Sus scrofa: one gene and its partner. The main gene of each other region encodes a partner of the protein of the gene in region 2 in a complex. Links are inferred from orthologs where the notes say so. Each region holds a gene or a part of one and is shown on either strand. Other genes may lie near its edges. The genes, in order: major histocompatibility complex class I-related gene protein and TAPBPL.

Region 1 (3,813 bases), on a different chromosome or scaffold from region 2:
AAGTTATGTGTAAAATACACAGGTTCTGAGGATGTGGAGTCAAGGTGTTCTCTCTCCTCTTTACCTGTCCTTTGTAGGGTATCTTTCCCGTACTCCAGAAATCTCCTTAACCAGGCAACACATTCTTGTTCCAGCCAGTTCTTCTGATACTGTAACTCATGCCAATTGGCCTCCCATGCCTGCTTGGTGATGTGAGCCACATTATCCACAGCCATCCAGGAGAGCGTATCTTTGTTGAAGATAATGAAATCCTGCCCATCATATGCATATTGGAGAAATCCTGTGGTGCTCCCATCCTCCAGCAACTCACAGCCAATCATTCTCTGGTAAGTGTGAAGCCCTGGAACACACATGCAGGCAGGAGGGGACAGAGGTTTACGTGGGGATGTGGAGGTGGGTGCCCAGGTGCTGTGACTGGGGGCCTGGCTGGGAGCCTCCTCTGCCCCACAGGACATCACTGCACAGGCCTGCCATGGCATCACTGAGTCTCCAGGAGGGTCCTGTGACATAAGCCCACCTAACGACAGATACCTGCAGAGTACCCACTGCAGGCCAAGAGAGTATGCTAACCCCTGCCTTGGGCGTTATCCTGTATTGGGAGTGACCAATTGATAAACTTTTTAATACAGTGGAGGGGGCAGAGAGACGCAGGAGCCAGAAATAGCCCTGGGAAAGTTAATGTAGTAAGTAAGCGCTGGGCGCAGGCAAGCACCTGCCTCAGCCTGGCCACCAGGAAAGGAGATGGGCAATGGCCAAATTTAGGATGGGAAAGGAGAAGGTACAGGTCAGCAGCCTGATGGGGATGGGATCGGGATACGGGGCAAAGGGCTCCTGAGGAAGAAACAGACAATTTGGAAGCCGCACAGGACAGATGGCAGGCGCTGAACCCATCAGCCAGATTGCCCAGGCTTTGCCAAAAGAATGCAGCTCAGCAACTGCTCACACTCGCCATCAGCCCAGGGGCCTCTCTACCGGGATGGGGGCTGGAGATGGAAAGCATTCACTCCACTGCCTTCACCACCTGAGTGATTGTAGTGACGCTGCAGCTGCTTCAGTTCCGCCTTGAACGTCTGCTGCCAGCCCCGCAGCAGCTGCGTATACCTCTCCCAGTGATCGGGCTCCAGGTTCTCCGCCATCCACGGGGCCCGCGGCTCCTTCTGCCGAGAGACACTGTCATACGTGGTGATGGGGTAAGAATCCACGTACCCAACTGAAATAAATTCAGGCATCTCATGGCCAGGATCCGAAATGCCCAGGCGAAAATATCTCAGAGAGTGAGTCCCTGGAGGGAGGCAAAGAAGGTGGATAGTGAGAGTCACAGCGGATCCGGAGCCATGAGCTGCATTCCACTGAACCCCCATGCGGGGCTTCCATGTTCCGCTGCACCCGTTCTCCTGGGGACCCAGTTCCTCTTCCAGAAATCACAGAACCCCAGGTACTGGGTCCCGGATAGGACTTGAGAGCTTTAGCCAAGACCTGGAGTCTGTTCTGTTCAGGTTTGGAAATCTTAGGATGAAATTTTACAGGTAACTCAACTTGTAAGTGAAGTAAATATTCTGGGCAGTGGGGAAAGGGGCCCCCAGGAGAGCTGTCCCCCAGGGACCCTGAGGGTTTGAAAACTCTGATAACCTAACCCCTTTGTTTCACCACAGAGGCTCCAGGTAGAAGAATAAGGGCCCCACCTCATCACTGTGCACACACGTGTAGGTGTGTACACACACACACACACACACCAGGTGAATCTGCTTGACGGACCCCCAGTGAGAATCCACATCAAGCCTCCTGAGAAAAATTTTTAAAAAGCATAGTGTTTTTGCTGTTATACCAAACCAACACTCTCGACCATTTTTCTATTCTTTCTCTACTTTTTCTTCTGGCCAAACATCACCCTAAGAATTGTAATCATCACTAAGGGTCAAAAGTAGGCTAAAATGAAACAAAACTGGCACTCCCCGCCACTTCTGCCCTGAACTTCTCTAGGCTCAACCAAGAAGCCCCCGGTCTGGTGGAGACGGCAAAGCAGTTTCAAAGTCGTGGGAAGAGTGTCACGATGGGGGTCAGCATGGGGCGTTGGTGCTCAGGAAAGACTTTCCAGAGAAGATATGTCTTGGGGAGGTTCTGGGACGGATAGGAGGTGAGCAGGTCCTGAAGCTGGGAAGGGACATGGGAGCAGAGCAGAAACCACGTGTGCCGCAGCAGGGAGGAGAGCATGAGCTGTGGGAACCGATGGCCTAGGAGCCCTGGAGCGCAGTGAGCACCACAGGGGAGACTGGGAGACAGGAGGCCTAAGTGGTAAGCAGAGCCCAGGCTGGAGGGCAGGGGCCCCCACACCATGCAAAGACCTGGCAGGGGAGGGCAGGCAGCACCGTGGCTTCCTCCCCCACCCTGCTCGCTATTGGCTGGAAATGCGCATCTCTGAGCCTCTTGTCTTGCTTCGTCCTGCCATCCTGACCCATCTAAATCCTCCTCAGTCATCAAAACCCATCTCTTGAACACTCCCAGAACCAGCTCTGACGTTTGCATGGCTGAGTCAAGAGGACAAAGGAGGCCCACATTCCAGAGGGCCAAATATTTAAAAGGAATAAATCAAGCTAATAACCTGTTTAACATTTGACAAATAGCCCTTCCTGTGACCTCAAAAGGCCAAGTTCACATTGAAAAATTTCAAACTTTGGGGTGGCACAGAACAAGCTGGCCTCCATTCTCCAGCCCCCAGCCCTTGGCCTAGGAACCATTGCCTTCTCTACCTACCCCAGCTCCACCAAGCCCTGCCAAAGGCCTTGTACCCATATGCAGGCACCCCTGCTTGCTCATTTAGGTTTCAGCCGCAATCACTGCCTCTTTGCCACCTCTTGAGCCTGGCAGAGGCTCAGGCAGGATAGTCCATCCTTAGGAGGGACCAAAGGAAGAGGCCTATGTAAACCCAAGCAGCCCCGAGTCATCTGGGCAGCGAACTGCAGGTCCCAGATACCTGCGGGTGGTACAGACATGGGGTGAGCACCTCCCCTTGGCCTCAGGGACTCTTGGCTCTGTGGGAAAGGATGTGGCTGGGGAGTGCCAGAGCAGGCCCCTCTAAAGGGTAGTATCCTGTCCACGGCTTCCCTTGCCTGTGTCCAAGAGCTGGGTTAGACACCACTCCTCCCAGTTTCTTCCAGGCGGCCTATCCCGCTGCTCTCGCTCCCTTCATGAGTTCCTGCAGCACGTGAATCTTCAGGCGTGACCCTCGTCACTGTGGAGAAACTCGGATGGGTGTCAGACTCCCATCCCTTGTGCTGATCGTCCACTCAATGATGATCACGCCTTCCTCTTCACTTATAAATATGTATTTACTTTAAAGATATATTTCATTTAAAAAAATGGTTCACAAAATGGCTGGGCCAGCTTTTGTGCATGCAAGTCTGTCTGTAATTTCCTTTTTTTTCTAGAACTCCCTCGTGACTCAGGGGGTTAAGGATCCAGCATTGTCCCTGCTGTGGCTCTGGTTATAGCTGTGGCACAGGTTTGATCCCTGGCCTGGGAACTTTCATGTGCTGTGGGTGCAGCCAAAACAAAAAACAAAAAACTTGTCATAAGAGGCAGGCTAAAGAATGGGGAGCAGAGCTGAAATCTAATTTATATCTGGTCTGGAGTCTGCAAAAGTTGTATATGCTTGAATCTGTGACTGATTTTGCAAATGGTTCTATTCCTTCACATCAAAAGGTTTGCGGCTCCTTAGCAGATAAATGCAGCTATTTAAAGATGGAGGCAAAAGGAAAAGCAAGTCGTGAACATTAGTTCTTAAACTTGCTTAGTATCCGTCTGCGTATTCTACAA
Region 2 (3,488 bases):
CTGAGCTACGTCTGCGACCTACACCACAGCTCATGGCAATGCCAGATCCTCAACCCACTGAGTGAGCCAGGGAAGGAACCCATAACCTCAGAGTTCCTAGTTGGATTTGTTTCTGCTGCGCCATGACGGGAACTCCCACATTTTCAGTTTTATTACTGACTAGGCAGGTGACCTCGAGCAAGTTGCTGAACATCTCTAAGTGCCGTTTACTCCTCTCTGAAATGGGAGGCATGTCGACGGCGGGCACACAGCTGAGTGCTCAGGACGATGCTGGCTTGATATAGCTGCTCAGTTAATGCAGTCAGTCCTCGGGCTTCTTGGCCACCTTCCCCTCTTCCCACACACCCCTGCCTTTAGCCTGCAGGTCCCCCAGTTCTTTTTAGGTAGCTCTATAATTACATCTGTGCATGTGCTGTCCCTCCTGTCCCAGTGTTCCCTCCCCCCGGAGCCAGCCCACCTGGCTCGCAGGTCCCATCCCCTCCGCCTCCCAGGTCGTCTTCCCTGACTGCCTGGTCTCTCTCTCTGGCTGAAGACTTGTTCAGCTCTGGTCTCTGGCTCTCAGCAGTGCCTGGTACACTTGAATCTGGGGTGTAATAAAGTTGCAGTGGGATGTGTGGTGGGAGCTGTGGAGGAAGCCACCTTGGGGAGGAAGCTGAGACTATGGGATGCAGAACAAGGCCAGGGGGCAGGAGCTGCAAACCCAAGTATGGGGCTGGGGAAAGAAGGGCACTCCCTTACCTTGTGGGGCAACCCAGGTGTTGGCCACAAGGGGATCCTTCAGGGAGATGTGGGTGATGTGGCAGGTGTAAGTGGCACCCGCAGAGCCAGGATCTGCTGTCAAGGAGGAGGAGATGCTGTAGGTGCCTGCTGCGCTTTGCCGAAGGCTGGAGAAGGAGGCGTCGGAGACTGGAACCAGGGCTCCGCCCAGCTCCTCCCGGATCCACGTCACCGTCACATCCAGAGGATAATAGCCAGTGACACTGCAGATGAGGGTATGTGAATGAGCTTCATTCACCAGGCTCAGTCTTACTTTTGGGGCAGCTGGAAGAAAAGAGTGACAGAGGCATCACCAGGACAGCAGAGGAGCCTAGAGTCTTCCTCTCCTGCTGAGCATGAGAGCAGCTTGTGGAGGCTGAAGTTCCCTCCTCAGTGGGGTGCCAGGGTTGGGGAGGGGGTGAGGGGTCCACCCTGGATGTGGGACACAAGGGGCATAATTTTGACAGGGAACTGAAACATAGCAGCGAAATCAACCAAAAGGTGGCTTGCTTCTTAGCATCACTACAAGCCAGTGATTTTTTTTGTTGTCTTTTTGCCATTTCTTTGGGCCGCTACCGCAGCATATGGAGGTTCCCAGGCTAGGGGTCGAATCAGAGCTGTAGCCGCCGGCCTGCGCCAGAGCCACAGCAACGCGGGATCCGAGCCACGTCTGCAACCTACACCACAGCTCACGGCAGTGCCGGATCCTTAACCTGCTGAGCAAGGGCAGGGACCGAACCCGCAACCTCAGGGTTCCTAGTCGGATTCGTTAACCACTGTGCCACGACGGGAACTCCCAAGCCAGTGATTTTGAAGACTGTCGGTGTTGAAACAGTCCTCCTGGTCAGGACCACTCCCAGCCCCTCCTTGGTCTACCACTGCTCCTCCTTAGTATGTGGTCCAAAAGGACGGGGGTGACTGGAGACAACCAGCCAGGGTGGGGCAGCAGAGTCCTGGGCTGGGAAAGTCGCAGTGGAATTTATTATCCTAGAGTGTGATGGGAAACCCAGTCTGATGCCACCTGCACGTCCAGGTCGGAGATGGCATTGGGGCTGTGGGAATGTAGTCCTTGTGTCTGACCCCACCCCCAATAGGGATAACTCTGTCCTGGCCTTACCTTGGACATGGAGCTGGACAATCTGTTGAGTTTGGTACAGGGAGGTTGTGATCTGGCAGATGTAGGCCCCCTCATCCTTCACAGTGAGGCTGGGTAGGGTGAGGGTGGCGTCCCCAGCCATGAGCAGTTGCTCAGGGTCTAGGGTGGCGCCCTCCCGCTGGGCCTGCCCCTGCCCCATGGTGGTCCAGCTGTACACCAGATGGCCACTGCCCCCATGCTGCTGCCGCCACTCCACGCTGGTGAGGTCCAAGCCTGGGGCCATGGAGAAGCCACAGTGCAGGGAAGCTGTGGATCCTAGCAGAAGATTCAAGGACGGGGTCTGTGTTGTCACCTGGAACTCCACTGGGGGAGAAAAAGAGGGGTGACTGTGGGCTCTCCATCCTCGAGGCCACCTGATCTCAGCTGTGGCATGCTGTGGCGGGTTGAGAGGCAGTGTTGCAGGGTACAGCATGGTACACTTAACTATTCTGGAGTCACTCACCTCTTGCACAGTCTGATGGAAGTGCAAGAAGAATACACATGCAAAATTATGGGTTACTGTTGATCCTCAGGTAGGGACTCCTGGAGTAGCTGGCAAAGCTTTTTGAAGCCAGGCTCTTCCATTTACTTGCTCTCTGACCTTGGGCAAGCTAGTCAGTGTTTGCCAAGCTCCTTCTGCTTGGGGCAAGGCTTCTGAGGAGACTAAAGGAGTCAGAGTTTAAAAAAGCACACAGTGGTGGTACTTGAGCCAAACATGCTGAATCTCAGGCTAATGAGGAAAACAGTCAGACAAATGCAAATGGTGAGACATCTACAAGATGACGGCCTGGCCTCAAAAACGTCTGGGTCTTGAAGACTGTTCCAGAGGAAAGGAGGCTGAAGGGTCCGGACAGGTAAATGCAAGGCTCAGTCCTTGTTTGAATCCTGGAGTTCAAAAACCAAACCGCACCCCCAAAAGCTATAGGACACCACACAAGGGCAATTGGAGAAGGTGGAATTTGGACTTTATATTTGAGAGTGTTATTCTTTCAGTTTTCAAAGGCATAAGTATAATGATCAGGGGCCGGGGATGTGGGGACAGCACGCCCTGGCAAGGGGGAATGTTCGATCACTGAGATGGTTCAGAATTGCCAGGGCAGGGAGAGCAGTGAGAATATGCTTTTAAGTTACCTGCACACTGCACCCTCGTATGGCCTGCACCCCGGGTAGACTGCTCCCCACCTTGGGCTGCTGCTGAGGTGACGGTTTTATGATTATGGAGAACATTTTTGTCTTTGATTATAAACTAAGACATGCCATCCATGGAAGCATTTGGGATCAAGTGTAGAGCTATGTCAGCAGTTGACTTTCAATTAGTTAAGAAGGTGGGAAATACATGGCAAGAGGGGGAGGGAGGAGGAGGGGATGAGGCAAGATGTTAAGGAGGATTCAGTTGGGGAATCCAGGTGCATGGTATACAGGTGTGTATTATGTTATTCTTTCACTTTTTTGTAGGTTTGAAATATTCAAAAATGAAAGGGAGCAATACCTAGCCATGCTAGGACTATGGTTGACACTGGACAGACGTGAGGACTCCCCCTTTTTTTTCTTTTTAGGGTCGCACCTGCAGCATATGGAAGTTCCCAGGCTAGGGGCT

The links.
Region 1: the proteins of TAPBPL (region 2) and major histocompatibility complex class I-related gene protein are in contact, whole or in part, in an NMR structure (PDB 7RNO), measured with the Homo sapiens proteins. The link is inferred for Sus scrofa from reciprocal best matches to the Homo sapiens genes TAPBPL and MR1. Residues at the interface, in NP_060479.3 of Homo sapiens: His47, Arg48, Gly49, Ala50, Ala52, Ser53, Ser54, Leu129, Met131, Thr132, Glu133, Thr135, Arg228, Gln230, Lys232, Gly233, Arg234, Gly235, Thr280, Ile282, Gln293, Ile295, Gln297, Arg307, Leu308, Ser309, Ile320, Cys321, Asp322, Leu355; in NP_001372090.1 of Homo sapiens: Arg101, Arg104, His105, Asn107, Thr129, Gly130, Phe131, Leu132, Gln133, Ile143, Phe144, Asn145, Asp147, Thr148, Leu152, Ala153, Val154, His159, Thr160, Lys162, Gln163, Ala164, Ala167, Asn168, Gln169, His170, Thr213, Phe214, Pro215, Asp248.

What each region holds. Positions count from the first base shown.
Region 1 is NC_010451.4:122,598,912-122,602,724, reverse strand, and holds part of major histocompatibility complex class I-related gene protein, read right to left. Parts: intron 1,283-3,813; coding exon 1,022-1,282; intron 341-1,021; coding exon 65-340; intron 1-64. UniProt on the Homo sapiens protein: Antigen-presenting molecule specialized in displaying microbial pyrimidine-based metabolites to alpha-beta T cell receptors (TCR) on innate-type mucosal-associated invariant T (MAIT) cells.
Region 2 is NC_010447.5:64,190,661-64,194,148, forward strand, and holds part of TAPBPL (tapasin-related protein), read right to left. Parts: intron 2,216-3,488; coding exon 1,874-2,215; intron 1,042-1,873; coding exon 739-1,041; intron 1-738. UniProt on the Homo sapiens protein: Component of the antigen processing and presentation pathway, which binds to MHC class I coupled with beta2-microglobulin/B2M. Association between TAPBPR and MHC class I occurs in the absence of a functional peptide-loading complex (PLC).